Linked DNA regions of Ovis aries. The protein of the gene in region 5 purifies or fractionates together with the protein of the main gene of each other region. This does not show direct contact. Links are inferred from orthologs where the notes say so. Each region holds a gene or a part of one and is shown on either strand. Other genes may lie near its edges. The genes, in order: TLE2, NEDD1, WRAP53, DCAF7 and CCT3.

Evidence for each region.
Region 1: the proteins of CCT3 (region 5) and TLE2 purify together in Homo sapiens (affinity purification with mass spectrometry; 3 studies listed by BioGRID and IntAct, with this or other methods). This does not show direct contact. The link is inferred for Ovis aries from reciprocal best matches to the Homo sapiens genes CCT3 and TLE2.
Region 2: the proteins of CCT3 (region 5) and NEDD1 purify together in Homo sapiens (affinity purification with mass spectrometry; 3 studies listed by BioGRID and IntAct, with this or other methods). This does not show direct contact. The link is inferred for Ovis aries from reciprocal best matches to the Homo sapiens genes CCT3 and NEDD1.
Region 3: the proteins of CCT3 (region 5) and WRAP53 purify together in Homo sapiens (co-immunoprecipitation; 3 studies listed by BioGRID and IntAct, with this or other methods). This does not show direct contact. The link is inferred for Ovis aries from reciprocal best matches to the Homo sapiens genes CCT3 and WRAP53.
Region 4: the proteins of CCT3 (region 5) and DCAF7 purify together in Homo sapiens (affinity purification with mass spectrometry; 4 studies listed by BioGRID and IntAct, counting the BioPlex papers as one, with this or other methods). This does not show direct contact. The link is inferred for Ovis aries from reciprocal best matches to the Homo sapiens genes CCT3 and DCAF7.

What each region holds. Positions count from the first base shown.
Region 1 is NC_056058.1:18,564,979-18,568,669, reverse strand, and holds the end of TLE2 (transducin-like enhancer protein 2), read right to left. Parts: intron 2,563-3,691; coding exon 2,486-2,562; intron 806-2,485; coding exon 698-805; 3' UTR 515-697; downstream 1-514.
Region 2 is NC_056056.1:166,666,735-166,670,248, forward strand, and holds part of NEDD1 (protein NEDD1), read left to right. Parts: intron 1-3,181; coding exon 3,182-3,298; intron 3,299-3,514. UniProt on the Homo sapiens protein: Required for mitosis progression. Promotes the nucleation of microtubules from the spindle.
Region 3 is NC_056064.1:27,207,187-27,211,396, reverse strand, and holds the start of WRAP53 (telomerase Cajal body protein 1), read right to left. Parts: upstream 2,813-4,210; 5' UTR 2,627-2,812; coding exon 2,223-2,626; intron 2,072-2,222; coding exon 1,973-2,071; intron 1,755-1,972; coding exon 1,643-1,754; intron 1-1,642. UniProt on the Homo sapiens protein: RNA chaperone that plays a key role in telomere maintenance and RNA localization to Cajal bodies. Specifically recognizes and binds the Cajal body box (CAB box) present in both small Cajal body RNAs (scaRNAs) and telomerase RNA template component (TERC).
Region 4 is NC_056064.1:47,618,351-47,621,864, reverse strand, and holds part of DCAF7 (DDB1- and CUL4-associated factor 7), read right to left. Parts: intron 597-3,514; coding exon 387-596; intron 1-386. UniProt on the Homo sapiens protein: Involved in craniofacial development. Acts upstream of the EDN1 pathway and is required for formation of the upper jaw equivalent, the palatoquadrate. The activity required for EDN1 pathway function differs between the first and second arches.
Region 5 is NC_056054.1:106,316,183-106,320,445, forward strand, and holds the start of CCT3 (T-complex protein 1 subunit gamma), read right to left. Parts: upstream 2,814-4,263; 5' UTR 2,749-2,813; coding exon 2,718-2,748; intron 731-2,717; coding exon 669-730; intron 1-668. Other genes in the region: TSACC (TSSK6-activating co-chaperone protein), read left to right, coding at 4,025-4,061. UniProt on the Homo sapiens protein: Component of the chaperonin-containing T-complex (TRiC), a molecular chaperone complex that assists the folding of actin, tubulin and other proteins upon ATP hydrolysis.

The DNA.
Region 1 (3,691 bases), on a different chromosome or scaffold from region 5:
TCCCCAACCAGGCATGGAACCCATGCCCCCTGCAGTGGAAACGTGGAGTCTTAACCTGTGGACTGCCAGGGAAGTCTCTGGAGCCCTTCTTCCTGCTCCAGTCTCTTCTGATCTCATAGAGAGATGCTCCCAAGCCTTGCCTGCACAGCCCCAGGTGTAGGTCCTCAGTCCTTCGCAAGATACTCGTGTCCCATTAGACTAGGGCTTCTACTCCCTAGGGGTGAGTCTAAGCCCCAGGGGACCATGTCTGGCGACATCTGTGCTCCTGGCATTGAGTGGGTGGGGGCTGGGATGCTGCTCAGCACCCCACAGGCCCTGGCACGGCTCCCCAACCGGGAATTATGCAGCCCCAGTGTCAGCTGTGCCAAGGAGGAGAGACTGGTTTACAGGGAGTGGCTCTTGCTGGCCAGCACTTTTCCATCCACTAAGTAAGGTTCTGAAATCACCATTTGCTCACCCTGTCCCTCCAGGATGAGCAATGTCCCCAGTTCCCCAGCCCAAAACAAGAAGGCAGTTGTGATAAATACATTTATTTCCCAAAGGTCCTCCTGTGCATCTGGCCCCACATCCAGCAGGGGAGGACACGAGGGCTCAGCCAGAGCATGGATGAGATTTAGGGCTCGTGGTAGGACTAGAGGGGAGGTTCAGAATGACCCTCCCCTGGGAGTCAGGCCAGGGGTGCAGGAAGAAGGGGGTCTCAGTAGACCACCTCATACACGGTGGCCTTCTTGTCCCCAGAGCCTGTCACGATGTACTTGTTGTTCCCGGAGATGTCACAACTGAGCACAGAGGAGGACTCCTTGGACTGTGGACAGGAGGGGGCAGAGGAGGGGAGAGTGAGGCACAGCCAAGGCCAGCACAGTCTGGCTCATGCTCCTGACCACCTTCACATTCAGAGGAAAGACACAAGGCAACTGGGGCAGCACCTGTCCCCAAGGGTGAGCTATGGTCAAGGCCGGAGCTGAGACAGGACTTGGGGGCCCAACATGGGGAGCCTAGCCGTGAGGAGAGAAGGAGGGTAACAGTTCTTCCAGAGAAGAGTGATGATGCTCCTGGGAAGAGCCAGACCTCAGTTCCCTAGAACAGCAGAACCACCATCTTCTGGGAAGCTTAGAGAGGGTGTGTATCAGACATGAGGTCACACAGCACAGAAGAGAGCTAAGGCTTAAAAGTAGGATGACCTACACCAGCAAACTGTTTCTTTTTTTTGACCACGCAGCTTGAGGGATCTTAGTTCCCTGACCAGGGATTGAACCTAAGCTCTGGGCAGTGAGAGCACAGAGTCCTAAGCAATGGACTACCAGGGAATTCCCTCGGCAAACTACTGAAAGGGGCCCAATACAATTTCAGGCTTTGACCTGAAAGCTCATTTAAGTCCAGTAAGCTCTGGCCGGTAAGTGCAAGGACCAAATCAGTCAGTGTTACATCATCTACTATTTTTTCCCCCACAGTCCTTTAAAAAATGTAAAAACTGTTCCTCATCGAGCAGGATAGCTCTAAGAAAGATGCCAGAGTAAGTGTTGTGGAGGATGGAGAGAAATCGGAACCCTTCCATATTGCCAGTGGGAATAAGAAATTTGGGAAAGAGTCTGGCAGTTCCTTCAAAGATTAAACAACTCTCAGCAATTCCATTCCAAGATATCTGCCCAGGAGAAATGAAAACAGGCATGCACAGGAGAATGTACATGAATGTTCACAGCAGCGCAATTCACAGCAGCCCAGAAGTGGAGACAACCCTAGTACCCATCAACAGGTGATGAATGAACACAGTATGGTCCATCCACACAGTAGAATATTAGTCTCTATATTCCTTAAAATGGAAGGAGGTTCTGACACCTGCTACATCATGGATGGACCTTGGGGGATGTGATGCTCAGTGAGAGAAGAGACACAGAAGAATAAATTTTGTGTGATCGCACTCACATGAGTCATCAAATCCACAGAGACAGGAAGTAGACGGTGGGGCCAGGGGATGGGAAGTCAGTGTCTCATGGGGACAGAGTTTCAGTATGGGAAGATGAGAAAGTTCTGGAGATGATGGTAGGGATGGTTATAGGACAGTATGAATGTACTTAATGCCACTGAGCCCTGCATTTTAAAATGGTTAAGATGGTGAATTTTATATGGATTTATCACCACACTTCCCTGGTGGCTCAGACGGTAAAGTGTCTGCCTACAATGCAGGAGACCCAGGTTCAATCCGTGGGTTGGGAAGATCCCCTAGAGAAGGAAATGGCAACCCACTCCAGTATTCCTGCCTGGAAAATCCCATGGATGGAGGAGCCTGGTAGACTACAGTCCATGGGGTTGCAAAGAGTCGGATACGACTGAGCAACTTCACAACTAATAACACAGTTTGTGCACAGATGTGGCCTTCAGGCTGGTGAGGACGCTCCCCTGTTCAACCCCCACCCCTCTCTGGGTCCTGGGGCACCTGGTGTCCTGCAGTGGTGGTGGTGGGGTGGAGACTTCAGACATGCAGTACCTGGAAGATGCTGGCCCCGTACGGCGTCCTCCAGGCATTGAGCAGGTTGTCCTTCCCTGTGCTCACGAACCACCGCCCTGGGGGAGGAGGGTGAGTTCAGGAGGGTGGTGGACTGGAAGAAGCCAGGGCTAGGGGTGGCAGACAGAGACAGGGCAACCTGGTCTGGCCTCTCCCTTCCTTTCCTGCACCTCTGCCCTCTCCTGGCGGACAGGAAGCCCCTTTACTGAGGCTCCAGCCTTCCCGCCAAGTGCCAGATGGTAAACCCAAGGTCCCAAAGAGCTCTAACTGACCTTCAAGAAAGGGGAGCCCCAAGAGAGGGTGGTCAGATAAAAATAGGGTGCCCAGGGAGTTCCCTACTTGTCCAGTGGTTAGACTGTGCTTTCACTGCTGAGGGACCAGGTTTAATCCCTGCTTAGGGAACTAAAATCCCAAAAGCTATGTGGCGTGGCCAAAATTCGGGGAAAGAAGCAAAACAAAAAGAAAAACCAGGGTGCTCAGTTACATTTGAACCTAAGATCAACCATGAATCATTTTTAGTACAGGTGGGTCCCAAATAGTTCATTATCTATTTTTTAACAAATATGTATGTATTTGGCTGTGCCAGGACTTAGGGCATGTGGGATCCAGTTCCCTGACTAGGGATTAAACCCAGGCTCCCTGCATTGGCAGCCACTGGGCCAACAGGGAAGTCCCTCTGTTTGTTTTAAATATATGTAAGTTCCATGAACTACTTGGGATATATCAATACTGAAAACAACAAACAAAATTAGTGTAAGTATATCCCATGCAATATTTGAGATCTATGCACTAAAATAGTATAAATGATATCTCATGCATTTTGGGGACATACTTATGCTAATAAATTATATGCTGTTTAGTGTACAAGTATATCCCACAAGGTACTAACAAATTCTTTGTCCTTTAGAGCAGCGGTCCCCAACCTTTGTGGCACCAGGGGCTGGTTTCATGGAGGACAATTTTTCCATGAGGAACAAGATAAGAGAGGGTGGCTTCAGGGTGATTCCAGTGCATGACATTTATTGCGCACTTTATTCCTATTATTATTACATCATCTCTACCTTAGATCATCAGGCAATAGATCCTGAGGTTTGGGACTTCTGGTTAGAGTATGTCCCATGCAATACTTGGGACGTACTTCTATTAAGGAGTGATGTGTTGTTTAAGATTCAAATGTAATCGGGCATC
Region 2 (3,514 bases), on a different chromosome or scaffold from region 5:
CTCACTATATATTCTCACCCTTTTGTTTCATAAGTTAATCTCTCTGATTTAGGATAATACTGGCTTTTTCATTTCCAATCACACACTTCTTGAAATTTGTTTCCATTTTAAATAAGATCTAAATAAAAAGGAATATATAGTTGGTGGTTCTTTTTTTAAATTTCAGAGTTTTATAGTGGACTCTAAACCATAATGAATTGTCATGATTTTATACACTGGAGTAGATAAGGTGGCCTAATCAGTCATTGTTCTACTCCACTTGCTTTGGAGTGGAACATAGCGGGACCACACAGTATAAATTCATCTAACATATTAATAAAAATGACTTAGAATTTCTAGCAGTCCTTTTATTTCTAGCAGTCCTTTCCTAAAGGTGTCTGGTAGGATTGAGCTCAGCATCAGTTCCAGCCCACAGGTGATAGAGACTGGACAGATAGAATGTGTGAGGGTAGGAATGGCACTTGCCTTTCAGCCTCAGTAAGTGGAGTTGAGGCATGTGGGATCTAGTTCCCGGACCAGGAAGTGAAACTGCATCCCCAGAGTACCACTGGGCAGTAAGGTAAACTGTACTCTTTAAGAGCAGGCAGAACATCTTAGTCATTTTTGGATCTTCAGATCATGTCCAAGTTGATCATCGAACATTTGTTGAATTAAATATCAACATCAAAACAGTTTTGATTTTGGGACTGCCCTGGTAGTCCAGTGGTTAAGACTCCTCCTTCCAGGGCAAGGGATGCAGGTTCGATCCCTGGTCCAGGAACTAGGTCTCACATGCCTCGACAAAAGACCCTGCATGCTGCAACTAAGACCTGACTCAGCCAAAACAAATAAAAAGCCAAAAAACAAAAACAATTTTGATCTCCACTTCTGCCACTGTTTAAGGTGGAACTTTATTTAAAGTCCACATTAATTTTCTTTGATTTTGTATTTTACCTCTCTAAAGTAGACAGATTGGTCTTGACAGTATGATAATGGATATGATAACCTAGAAATTTGACCTGATGTTATCTTCAGATTTTAAAGTTCTACCCATTGCTTTTGTCTTAGGGTACAGGATTCCTGTAATAGCCAATTTCCATTAATTATTTAAGTTCATTACCTGCATTAATAATATATTAACATAAAAAATCCTCTCTCATTAGGGTAAGCAGCTAAAAACATAGGTTTTGTTCTAAGCCCTTATGAATAATTTCAGTTGTTTTTGATTGGAATTTTAATATATTGATCTTTGATGGATGCTATTCTTATCTATTTTATTTAAAGGTAAACTCCTGATCTGCAGTAATAACCAGATTCTAAATTTTATTAGTCTATTTAGACCGAAGTCAATTCCTCAAATGATGTCTGCAAGAGAATTATAGTGACCATACTGAAATATTGATGTACTGTGCCCCAGTATTTTTTTTTTGTTAATAATTTTGACTCGGTTAGAATTTCAAAGCTGGAAGAAACCTTGGGGGAGAGAGAGGGGGTCATCTGCACCCTTTTAAGAATCTGGTGCTCTCTTGAGCAGAGGATGTTTTTGAAATGCATGGACTATCAATAACAGTAGATCTGGTCCTCATCTTTCATTTCTCACAGGTAGAAATGTAGGCTCAGAAAGATGAGATTACTTGCCTAGAGCTACGGTAATTTGCCTTCAGTCACAAAATGTACGCTTTGGAATTAATTTCTATTCCTCCCCCCCCCCCTTATGGTGTTCAGCTGGAGTAGGAATAATTAATGTAACTATATAGTGTATCTGAAAGTTAATAGGGAAAAAACAACCATGCAACATTGTAGCATAGTTACTGATGATACCACCAGATAGATGACATGCATGCATACTCATTGTGAGAAACTTGGTTACCACTGTATTTTTAGCCATTTGTTCTAAAAATATTTATTGAACATGGGTATGGTCTTTGCTGTAAGGAAACTGACATTCTGGTGAGAGACAGAATAAATGAGTAAACAGTACCCAGTGACAGTGGTAAGTTGTTAATGCAGAGAGCTGAAATACGTTACTGAGTTAGCAGGTTACATTAGGTGGGGAAGGGGTCTTCTGAAGTTGTGGTATTTAAGTTGATATCTATTGATCAGATGAAGTCATTCAAGCCAAGGTTCAGGGGAATTAACTTTCCAGGCAAGAATAGCTGTGTAGAAGTCTGGAGGCAAATATAGTGTTATTACATTTAAGGAATGGAAGATGGTCCTTGTGCCTAGAGAATCACTGGGTGGGGAGGAAACTGGTGACAGACCAGTTAAGAAAGGGCTAGATGAATAGGGCAATGAAAGCCAGGTTGATGATGAGTTTGGAATTTAGGTGTGATTGGAAGCCACTGAGGATTTTAAAATAAGACACACATGATCTGATTTACATTTCATAAAGGTCACTCTCTATATAGAACATGATATGTAGGGAAGCAAGAGTGGAAGGCAGACAACCAGTTAGGAGGCTGCTGTTGTTCTTTGACAAGTTTTGGATCAGGGTGCTTGCAGTGACGGTAGATAGAGGGGGGCCCCTGTAGGGTATATTTTACAGTTGGAGTTTGGAGAACTTGCTGATAGACTGAGTGGAGGGAGAACAAGGAATCAAGGTTCCTTCTGAACTTCTGTCTTGAGTATCTGGATGAATGGGACCTTACAGTGTGGGGGAACAGTGTAGACTTAGTTTCTGATGACAAGATGTTTGAGACTTGGTCCATTTTGGGGAGAGGCACTGTGACTTGGAACTAGTATCTTGTCCTCTTTATAAAACTTCCCCCCTTCTGTAAATTGAAGGGTTTAAACTAGGCATTCTTCAAAGTCTCCTCTACCTTTAGAATTTTCTGAGCTGTGGGTTGATTTTAATTTGAGATATTCTGTGGAGTATAAGAGCAGGTGTTGTTAAAGGGACAATATGCAGGGCAAGTAAGCCCTAAAGGGACTCCGAGACTTGGTGGTTTCCTAAGCTTCCTCTGTCACCACCTTTATGTGGAAAGAACATGAATCTGGTTGATTTCCTTAAAGCCATTTTGAACACTTTGCAGACTATTGAATCCTTGTGGAAGATGATGAGAGCTGAATCTTTAGTACAAGAATGGACATGTCTATAGCATTTCCCTCAGATGTTTTTCATGTGCTTACTAAGTGTTGGATGAGAATTGAAAGTCAGCTCTGGTCTCTATTAACTTAACATGACTTTTTTTTTTTTAAATAGCAAAAGCAGACATGTGTCAGTTTAAATTCAACGTCTATGTATTTGGTAAGCGGAGGCCTGAATAGTACTGTTAATATTTGGGATTTAAAATCAAAAAGAGTTCATCGATCTCTTAAGGTAAGCAACTTGAAAAAAAAATCTTTACAGAAATGTGTTTATTAGTAATTACCAAAATTTAATTTTGAGCTTTTATGATAAAAATAAGCAGCTTCAGAATGAAGTGAGATTTGTTAGGGAATATAAAGATGTGTAGCCAAAAGCTTACTTTTTTGAGTTTATTTTTCCTTCCATGTATGTTACTGTGTTATTGTGTTGCTGGGGTTAAAACTTTTT
Region 3 (4,210 bases), on a different chromosome or scaffold from region 5:
CTGAAAGTGCTTTTCTTAAAGTCATTAACGTTTTCTACGGTCCTTTTCTAAATCTGCCCTCACTCTCAACAGGGCTAGACATGATCAGAATCATTAGACGTGATTTTGGCCTCCACTTTTGTAACTTCTCCTGTACCCATCTCCATGCGCCGTAGCGCTCCATCTGCTTGAGCCTTCTTCTCCATCTCCACTCTCTCTTGAGATTGACTCCATCCTCAATTCCAAGATACCATCGACATGCTCTCCCACTTTCAACGTATATCCCCAGCACCCTTCTCCAAGTCCCTCCTTAGATTTACATTTCACATTTAAAGTATCTAAAAATCCTTACCTCTGTCTCAACACTTCTTCATATCCTCTGAGTAAACTGTATCCCTATCCACCCAATTGACTTCCAAGTCCTAAGAAATATACTTCAAAACCACCCACCTCTATCTCTCCTGACACCACACCAGCACAAGCCAACATCATTTTTTACCTGGACTGTGGGATACACATCCAGATGAATTTCCACTCTTGCCCACTTACAATCCATTCTCTAGATTTCAGCCATCATTTCACTCCTCTCTTTTAATCTCTCCCACAGCTTCCTCAAAACACTCCAAATGCCCTACTCACAAGATGTGGCTGCCAGACACCTTGCCATCTTCACCACGCTTTCCCCCTCACTGGCCTTGGTCCAAGCGTACTGGCTTGCTTTCTGTTGCTTGAACACACAAGGCTCTTTCCCACTCTAGGTCTTTGTATAATAGCATTTTTGCCTTTTCTTGGAAAACTTCACATGACTGATCTCGTCATCCTTCAGATATCAGCTCAAATGCCCCTTCTTCAGAGAGCCCCTCCCCTGACCTTTTTTTTAATCTAAAGCAGCATCCTCGGGACTTCCCCAGTGGTCCAGTGGCTAAAACTCTGAGCTCCCAATGCAGGGGGCCTGGGTTCAATCCCTGGTCAGGAAACTAGATCCAACACGCCACATTTAAAAGACCCTGCGTGCCACAACTAAGATCTGGCACAGCCAAATAAATAAAGTTTAAATAAATAGGTAAATAAAATGGATCGAACCTGGGTCTCCCGCATTGTAGGCAGATGCTTTACCATCTGAGCCACCAGGGAAGTCCTAAATAAAATGACACTATTCAAAAATACAAATAGGTAGAAATAAAGCGGCATCCTCTAGTTAGTCTCTCTTTGTTGTTTATTTCCTTCATAGCATTTATTTATTTCCTTCACAGACTTATTATTATCTATAAAGAACTTCATTATTTATTGGTTTACACATTTGTTGTCTGTCTCCCACACAAAAAAGCAAACCAGCTCTTTGCCTCATTCATCACTTTACCCCAATACCAAACACAGTAAGTGACTACTGGTGGTCATTCAACACAACTCTGTAAGTCAATTAAAAACCACAGTGAGAAAGCCACTACTCTTACAGGAAACACATATTCCTAACTAAAGGACAAACATCTTTTTAAGTGACTTCAGAATTCAGGGTAGAAATATTACTTGTGGAAACTCATGGCGAAGAAGTGTCCTGCCTGAGAACAGGAAACATGTGGACTGTTCTTTCTCCATCTACAGGAAGGCCTTGAATGTGCAATGTCTGATGAAGCGGCACTTAACTCTTAGCCCCTGCCCTTACCATTTCTGCATATTCCAGTTGCTCCCCTTCATTGTACAGCTCTGGGGGCAGGTTATAAATCCGCAGAATATTATCAGCACTATTGGTCAAGATGCAGGAACCATCAGGGGCCCTAGGAGGATGAAAGAGTTAGAAAGCTGGACAGACCTAGATTTTCCAAGTGCAGGGCTAGGGCTGAGCTGACCTCTAGGATAGGTAAACACCCCTAGGACTTTGAGGAGAGAAGACACACAACCCTAAACGCAACTGAAGATCCTTCTCACACCATGGTAGATCCTTCTCCCAGATAACTGGGCGTGGTTTTCTCGCTGCCCTATAATCCTTACTTACCACTTACAGCCTTTCAAGAAGTTTTCAGGTTGGGTGATGAACTCTGACCAAGAACCACTGAGAAACCGAGGTACCTGGGAGAAGTTGTAGTTCCAAATGCTGTAAGGAAGATGGGGGGTAGACAACAAACCTGGGTCGCCAAAGCGAAGTGGAAATGAGCCCGGAGAAATGGGGCTGAGGACTGGCCTATGAGATTACCTCACTCTCCCAATCTCCTCAGACTCCTGAGCCAACTGCTAGCACCACTTACGTGTATCCCTCATCCTCTGGACTGAGTTCTTCAGACACACCTTCCACGTCTTCTCCGGGCCCCAACTCTGGCCTGTTTGTTTCTTCTGCAGGAAGGCTCACATTTTCAGAAAGTTCTTTCTCCTCGACTCGACTGCTCAACTCACTAGGAGGACCAAACCCTGTTTCCAGGGGAGTGGAGAGAGAAGCTGGGACCCCTTCCTCCAGCTCCTGGGACAGAGCTAAGCCAGCCATGGGATCTGAGGACACCTGGGGCAGATCATCCCCATCGCGTAGCGGCGGCATCAGTTCAGGGTCCGTATTTTTATCCATCGGGGAAGCCTGATGAGAGAGACAGGCTGGAGCTGGGGCCTGGTCTGAAGGAAGGCAGTCTGGAGCTAATGGTGGAGCCTCCGGCGTCTTCATACTGCAGAGGAAGCGCGGCAGACATCAGCCGCGGCCAGGCAGCCCTCTTCCCGTCGACTACCAGGGGCTGGGCCCGCGGAGCAGCCGAGACCGCTTCAAAGTTCGCAGGGATTGGGATGCAGAACCGGAAAAATGCTCCAGTGTATTCCTCCTCCCTGGAGGGGGCACAAGGCCCAGCGAATAAACAGCGTTCCTAAGCCTAGTCGGTAGCTACGTGCCACCAGTTCTCGCGAGATTTGGGTCCACCTTTCCATTGGACATCCGCATCCCTGATCAGACTTCGCGCGCAACCCAAGGGAGGGGAGGGGTAGGAATGTAACAGGTCACGGGTTCCCGTCAAGCCCTGGGGCCCTGGGAAGTTTGAAGTGGCTGCTGGGAGCTGTAGTCCGAAAGCTTCCTCCTCGACGGGAAGTGCTTGAGCTCCCCCTGCGGTCTTCGGCGATCGTTCTTAAAGCATCTACTCTCCTTTCCAACCGGCAGAGGGCGCCAGCGCTATTAGATGTTACAGGTTTTGCATCTTATTAGCTAAATTTTTCAGACCTCAGTCTCTTTTCATTCATTCAATAAATATTTATTATTGAACTCTTACTTGCTACCCAGTACTGTAATAGGTACTGGGAAACAACAATCAATAAGATTGTAGACAAGGTCTCTGCCCTTCTAAGTCTTAGGTTGCTATGTATTGAAGGCAAGGAACAAATCACTTCAGAAAGTGATGCTGCTGCTGCTAAATCGCTTCAGTCGTGTCCGACTCTGTGCGACCCCATAGACGGAAGCCCACCAGGCTCCCCCGTCCCCGGGATTCTCCGGGCAAGAACACTGGAATGGGTTGCCATTTCCTTCTCCAATGCATGAAAATGAAAAGTGAAAGGGAAGTCGCTCAGTCGTGTTCGATTCTTAGCGACCCCATGGACTGCAGCCTACCAGGCTCCTCCATCCATGGGATTTTCCAGGAAAGAGTACTGGAGTGGGGTGCCATTGCCTTCTCGGTCAGAAAGTGATAGGGGTGTGAAAATAATTAAGATGGTGTAATATAGCGCATATGGAGGTATACGTTAGATAGGGACATTATGGAAGGCCTTTCTAAAAGTTGACAGTTTAGTTGATGCGTAAAAACTATCCAGCTATCTAGGAGAGGAGTGTTCCAGTCAGAGAATGCAAGTGCAAAGGCTTTCTTCCTTTCACCATATATGAAACAATGGCAGAAACCTTCCAAAATGGTTTCCACCAATTCGGCCGTTATGGTTTTCGCTTGTCGAACTTCCCCTATCCAAACGGTCACTAGCTACACTACCAATATGGCGAGAATCCTGACTTTCCCCGCACTCTCCTCTCCTACTCTCCTTTCCCCTCGCCTCCGCCCGCAGGGGAATTGCTTGCCCTTACTTGTCATGGCGACTATCCAGCTTTGTGCCAGGAGCCTCGCGAGGGTTGCTGGGATTGGGATTTTCCCCTCCCACGTGCTCCGGACTGGCGCTAAAAGTTTTGAGCTCTTCAAAAGTCCAGAGCCACCATCCTGGCCGCAGTGGCCGCTGGTCTCCGGGGTCATCTAGCGTCCGACCTCGGAGCGTGCATCCCAGGACG
Region 4 (3,514 bases), on a different chromosome or scaffold from region 5:
GATTTGGTTGACTTTTTAGATACTGCTTTTCTTGGCTCTGAGTCCAGCTCTCTATGTATTACAAGTTCTCGACACACGGCCCTTACTCTAGGTCAGGTTTTCTCAGTTTCGGCACTCCTGACATTGGGGTGGGGCAACGCTGTGCTGTGTGTTACGGGGAGTGGTCCTGGGCACCACAGGCCTCCAACTCCCAGACACTAGGAGCACCACCCCTTCTTGCACCCCCCACCCCCTCCGAAGTTGGGACAATCCAAAACGGCTCCAGGTGGATCCAAAAATCCTCTGGGGAGAAAACTGCCATCAGCTGAGAACCGCTCTCCTGGATCCACTAAGCCGGGCTGGAGCGGAGTGGCAGGGCCTAGGTTAGCCCGAAGTGGGGTTCTCACCTCCATTCCATCCATAGCCATAGTGGCCAAGTAGTTGGGGTCCTGCTTGTTCCAGCAGAGGCGCAGCAGTGGGTGATGCTGTGGGTCTTCGTAAATGATGGTGCTGTGTTCTAGGTGACGGAGGTCAAACATCCGCACCGAGCCATCAGCACCCACAGAGGCGAACATGTCCCTGCCACCCCCTGCCCGGCTAAATGCAATGTCGTAGACCTGTTGGTGAGTAAGAAGCAACTGTCAGATTCAGGTCAGTTACCTCCTTTTCATATCACAGGGAAACCTACTGTCCCCTGGTTCATCTAAACCCCTGCTCATGACTTAGAAGGAGGTAAATAAAGCCACACCACGCCTGCGAGGACTGGAAACTGAGGGTGCTAACACCAACGATTTCCCAAACAGTGACGACCATCCTACAGTGGAAGCTGGTAGGCTTCCTCTCACTTGCTGCCTTCCAAGTATTCTTCCTCCACCTCCCGCGGTAACACAGCACACACCCTGCTGACCAACAGAGCACAGATAACTCAGCAAGTATTCTATCCGGTCGGCTTGGACAGGCTCAATGAAGCCAGAACCAGTGGCTGTCTCCTGCCGCTCTGTTACGAGACTTGAGACATTTATTTCCTGGCCCTTGTGGCTTTCATCTATGTACAATCAGAGCAGTCCATGACCACAGGAAGGCTGAGGTCATCGACTGGAGAGGCAGAAGTGGCCCTCCTCTGACCACAGTTCTGCTGTGAAACCTGGACCTGAGACCCATGTGCAAGAAAGAGGTAAGAGCCCCTCTGAATCATGGGAGGCTCGGGTATTCCTTTATTTACAAAGAGGGTTAATATTGCTCTCCTAGGAAATGCTGTTTCTCCTAGTTGGTTTGTGTTCATAAGTATAACAACTTAGGTTTTGAATTATTTTCTTCTGCATTTATTCAGTTCAGTTCAGTCACTCAGTCGTGTCCGATTCTTTGCGACCCCATGAATCGCAGCACACCAGGCCTCCCTGTCCATCACCAACTCCTGGAGTTCACTCAGACTCGCGTCCATCGAGTCAGTGATGCCATCCAGCCATCTCATCCTCTGTCATCCCCTTCTCCTCCTGCCCCCAATCCCTCCCAGCATCAGAGTCTTTTGCAATGAGTCAACTCTTCGCATGCATTTATTACCTGCTGCAAACTTTGTATTGCACTAACGTCTATGAGAAAACAGGCAGAGAGCAACAGAGGGCTTCAGAGAAAGAAAGGGACAAAGAGAGACCGACAAAGCCAGAGCCAGACAAGCGGAGAGAGAAAAAAAGAAAAACAAAATGTTGAACAACAAAAAACAAAAATGCCAAACAAAACCCATCTCCTGGGGTCAAGGACTGTAAGAGCTGACTTCTGGGGAGACATGAGTGGAACCTGTCCCTCACACTGTGACTCCAGCCTTCCTGAGGTTCTACCTTCCGGGGGACACTGACTAACAAGCATCTGTTTCAAATCAACATCATAAATTGCCCTTCCTCTGGCTGACAATGAAGAAATTGCACTTCCCTCTCTACGGTGGGAACGAGGAGTGGTTCAGCAGGAAACTAGGCTGGCCATTCCAAGACCCGACAGACCTAGGCACTGGCCGGCACTGTTTATCCACACGTGCACCCACAGCTGGCGCTCTGACTCCCAGGCACAGGGACACCACGGCAGCATCACTAAGCAATAAGGTGCCCACGGGCAGTACAGCCAAGCGTGTAGAGCCACTCTGACTGCTCCTTCCTCTGTGTTCCACCCACATATTTCATCAGAAGCCAAGAGCGGGCGACAACTCCCAGACACACGCTACCCTCCTCTGCACCAACCCGCCAGCAGCAATGAGAACCTCCGAGCAAGTCTGTACTTCAACAGAGATGCGGACAGAGAAAAATCAAAGGTGCTGGGAGGTGTCATGTTTCTCTCCGGACAACCATCCTGAGGTTCATTTCTTTGAGGCCAGGGTGTTGGTTCAGGGCCTGCTGGCTGTTAAACTCGCTGTTCTTCTTGCCCAGACGCCCTCACTGCGGCCAGTGTGGCTCCTCAGCTTTACCATCATCTTTACCATCATCTGGCATCTTTACCATCATCTGGCACCCCATTCCAGTACTCTTGCCTGGAAAATCCCATGGATGGAGGAGACTGGTGGGCTGCAGTCCATGGGTTTGCTAAGAGTCGGACACGACTGAGCGACTTCACTTTCACTTTTCACTTTCATGCACTGGAGAAGGAAATGGCAACCCACTCCAGTGTTCTTGCCTGGAGAATCCCAGGGACGGGGGAGCCTGGTGGGCTGCCGTCTCTGGGGTCGCACATAGTCGGACACGACTGACGCGACTTAGCAGCAGCAGCAGCAGCAGCAGCTGTGTGAGCCATCTCCTCATTAAATCCCCTCAGGTTAAACATGCGGAGTAGCTCTAGTTTTCCGGGTTGGACCCTGACAGAGAACACATGCTAAGTGTCACAGAACCAAAATGTAGCAACTTGCTCCACTGGGTGCCAGGACGTCCTTCCTGGCGTTCCCGGCAGGTCAAGCTCTCTTTCTCTGCCCCTTGTTTCATGGTGACCCAGTCAAGCAGACTTTAACAGATCTCGGCGCTGGGAGCACAGAAAGCTGAAGGATGACCTCTCACTAAGAATGATAATCTAGTCACCAACTTCTGTGGACAACCTCACAGCTCTCACCTAATGTCTACGCATCCTTTTAATCTGTACAGACATTAACACTCCTCGCTGCACAGGAGTTGGAGGGAAAAGGAAACACTACCCACAGGAGACATCCTGTGATTTCCCTGGTGGAGGACCAGCACGTGGTGGCTCTGGGAGTTAAAAGATTTATGACCATTTTACAAAACCACTCAGAAGAAGGCTCTGTAAATACAATTAGAGCTCACTCCCTTCAGCTCTTCCAATACACATAGGAGAAACATCACCATCAAAGTTAACCATATTCAATTCCAAATAGTATTACACATATAAGTATTAAGTGAACATACTAGAAATTCATAAAACAAGTTTACAGAAGAGTTAATCAATTAGTTTTGTCTGCCAGGAAATTCCCCCTCTTCTTGCCTTCCTGCTCCCAAAAAAGTAAACATACTTCAAGGTAAGTGTTACCCTAAAATTATAAGATTAT
Region 5 (4,263 bases):
AGAAAATACAAAACGTGTTAAGCACAAACCAGAGGCTGGTGATTGTGCGTTTCAGGGGAAGGGGCATGGGCAACCCACAGAGCCAGTGTTTTAACAAGGACACTTCTAAAGTAGTAGGGTTGGCAACTAACTTTCAATATAGGGTGTCATATGGCTAGATTCTGTTGTCTTTCCCCCTTTGGGAATGTTTTCTGGATGTGCAAAGGAATAACTTTTCAAAAGGAAAAAAAGGGACACAGCTCTCACAGCTACAGTTTCCCAGCAGCTCACAGGTAACTGAGAGTCCACATATCTGTACTTCCTTCCATGAGAGTGGTTCCACCCCATGCTAGATTATATCCAGGGCTGTTTCATTCTTTCATTCAAAAGGTATTTACTGAATATACCTATCCAGGATCCACAGTGAGTACTAGGAATACAAAAGGGAATTAATATAGTTCTTGTATCCAAGTAACTCAGTCTAGTATGGGAGACAGACACAAACACGCAATATAATATGCACAATATGAGAAGGCCATTAGACACATCTCAGAGAGGGAAGGCTTCTTCCTCCTTACCACCAAAAGGGAAATGTCTTGAAGGAAAGGAAATCAAATTTTCTTCCATTAGATCACAAACAAACACACAAACACAAATACAGGCAAACTATTATAAACAACGCATGCTACCTTGGCAGCATTGATGTTTCCAGATTGCACTTTTCTTCCAGATTCACGCTTTGTGTTCTGGCCTAAAACAGATAAAAACAAAAGGCATGGGAGGGAGATTCAAAAGGGAGGGGATATATGTATACCTATGGTTGATTCAAGTTGAGGTTCAACAGAAAACAACAAAATTCTGTAAAGCAATTATCCTTAAAAAAAAAAAAAAAGGCGACAGACCAGTATTGCTCCACTGTATATAAGCTACTCCCTAATCTTTGAAAATAAGCACACACCCAGGTTTCATGGATGTATACACTGATTAAAGCTTATCGACTTGTACTCTTTAAATCAATTATATCTCAACAAACTATTAAAAAATAAGCACACATACTTATGGCTACTTACTTATTTACTTCAATTCCTGATATAATAAGAAACAATCCACACAGCTTCAACTGTGGAATCTTGGTCATCACTTTCCCTCTAACCAAACACTCGTGTATTTATACTCATGTATTGGATTCTCAAAGGGCTGGTGTCCCTAAAAAAGCATGAATCTCTCCTTTATATAACAAGGGAGAGTTTGGGAGTTTGCATTCTCATACTAGGATATGGTGAACCATACCCACAGTCCCAGCATAAATTATTGACAGTGACCCCCAGTGTGCTGTGGAATGAGAACACACACTCAAAAGTATTGGGGTTTGCAAGATATGGTCACTTCATGCTTGGATATAATCAGAATGCCTCGGGTACCAACTTCCCACCAGTAACAGTGTACTATATACTTTAACAGGGAGCAGAATCAGTTACAGCTGCTAATGCCAAGGATTAACAGGGACCTCAGAAAGGTTGCACAATGCACCACTAACTCACCCTAGGGCCCTTTCAATGAGAGAAAAGCCAATGGCCCTAACTGAACCAATGTATTGTTTTTCTCACTCCTTTCTCCAAACTATGTTTTCCCTACAAGTTGTTGTAAAATTTTCGATCTGGTCCCATCAAATCTAAACACAACTCTCTGGATTTAGATCCCTATTTCAAGCAGTGTTAACTAAAATCCTGCATGGATCTTTCTGATGCATTCATCAGAAAAAATAGTTTGTTTTTTTTTTTCCCCCTGGGTTAAGCGAATGCTTGTCTTAAAATAACTATTTTCCAGGTGTAGAGAAAATAGATAAAATCTCGGAATAGCATTCTTTACACAGAAGATGAGATGGTGAGAAAGGCAAAATGGCTAGTCAAGCATGTCAAGTGATCATGCAGGATGAGGTACAGAAGTTACACAGGATAGAAACATACCAGGGGAAGACAAGTGAAATGGGACTTGAAATCTGGGATGTTCCCGAAGGTAAAAAGAACCAATTAAGAAATCGGGAAAACTCAGTTCTTAAAGTGGGAAAGATTACAACGGAGCAGACATTTGCAGGGATAATTACATCTAATATAATATGATCAGTGAGAGAGGCAGGGTTACATCAGGAACAGGGGTTGACAAAAGGAAATTCAAAACAGTTATCAAAAAAAAAAAAATGGCCAAGGAAACTCGCTGTTTGCCAGACCCTCTTTTAAACAATTGTATCTACTTATCTCATTTAAGCCTCACAATTCTACGAGGAAATACTGTTAACCCTAATAATTAAGATAGAACTATTTCGATTTTTATTTGGCCGGAGCCACACCACTATTAAAGGATAGACCAAGATTATAAAGCTAGGTCAAATTAAAAAACATTTATTCATTCAGCTACACACTGAAAATCGCTCAAGGAAAAACGTGCAGGGGCAAGGATTGGGAGTGAAGAACGGAACGCAGAGTGGGAAGCATCTCTCCGAGGTCACTTGCCTGGAAAGACAAACCCTCGCGTTCGGCGAGGGTAAGGTCAATTTGCGTCTGCGGAAGACAGGGGAATGGGTTAAGAAAAGGGGGAGACGGGAGAAGGGGCTTTCAAAATGAACGACTGGAAGGCTCCGTGGCCGAACCAGGGTGCGACTGGGCTGGGGCAAGGCTGTAAAGTGCGGAAAGGGGGGCTGCGGCGAGGGGAGTCCCTTCCCATCCTTCCCCACAACTCACTAAGCACGAGCACCGGACGATGACCCATCATGGCGGCGCGATGCAGAGCCGGGTACCCAGAGCTGGGGGAACCGGCAGAACCTTCTGGAGAGAGAGAACCAGAGAGAAGACCAGAAAACGCTGCCTCCTCTGGGCTCACACCTAAACCCGCTACTCTCTGAGTCACCACCAATCACTGCATGCATCTTACTGACCGGCACGAAAACACACCAATTGACATTCTTAGCCCCACCCCCTGCGTAAGAACGCAGGGCAAGTTAGATAGAGAAAGCACGATGATAGAAATGCGAGGGCACAGGCGCTTGCGCAATAGGGTGGCCGCTCCCGGCCGCGTGCGGCGCGAACCTCAGCGCAAGCGCCGAGGCTCCGGCAGTTGGCCGGCACGCCACTGCGCATGTGTATCAACTACAAGGGTGGGTGCTGGGGCTGAGGCTTTCGATTAACACCGCAGGTGAGGTCATTAAACTCTGGCGTCTAGGCTTCTCTCGGGCCGCGAAGGTCAAGAAAGGCGTGGCAGTTCCACGCTTTCATTCCAGCCTTAGCAACGGGGAGGCATAGAGGGGCGGGACCTAAACCGGCTGTCGAGAGAAGACCTGGCCGGTTTGATGCCGGGTGAAATGGGAGTTGTAGTCCAATCCGACTGGGCTGAGCGGTGACTGTTCTTCCCGGCGCGCTGGGAATTGTGGTTTATTATCTCTGACTCGTTGCTCTGCGTGGACTTTCCCTTTCTTAGGCAGATGCTTTATTCTGAGGCTGTCAGCGGTACCAGGAGGTGATGGCTTAAGTTTTTCCCCGAGTTGTCCTATTCAAAACAAGTGTTTCCTGTAGTGCTCTCAAGATTTTCTTTCTCCACGCCCATTCCCTCCCGTGCCCTCCTCATCGCCTCAGCTGCAGGTTCATTGGAGATGCTGGAGAGCAAGAGTTTTAAAATAACCCTACAGAATAGGAAAAGGACTGATACTACAGAAATTAAAACGAGAGAACACAGAATATTTGCCCGTTCATAGGAGACTCTTAAGGTTTAGGCGTGGTTAAAGTACTCTTTTGTCCAGAAAAAAAAGGAAATAGCTGTTTTCCAAACTAAAGGAAGGGCCGTGAGACCAAAAACAATTCAAAAACAGTTACTTCTATTTAGCCATAAACTAAGACAGTACATCCTTTCACACTTTTTCCTCTCCAAATTGGAACAGCCTGAGCTCTACTGGGGAGAACTTGAGAAATTGTTAATAGTGAAACAGTAAGATGGGTTGTCAGTCATGAGATACTATGATTTTTTTTCCCCAGGCACCACACCTGTGGATGTTCAGATGGAGCAGCTTCCTAGTCATCCTACTAACAAAAGAGGTGTGTGTCAGATGCCCTGCTTCCTCTCCCTTAAAACCAGACCTTCTTAATTGCCCAGCTTTGGGGAAAATGAAGCTAGTTGTATGTATGGTTTTTTCCTATTACTTAGTCGGAAAGTATTTGTATTTGTTACGCGTTTCCCACTAAATGGAACGTTCTTGTATTCCTAGTGCCTAGAACCGGAGCTATTAAATAGTAGATA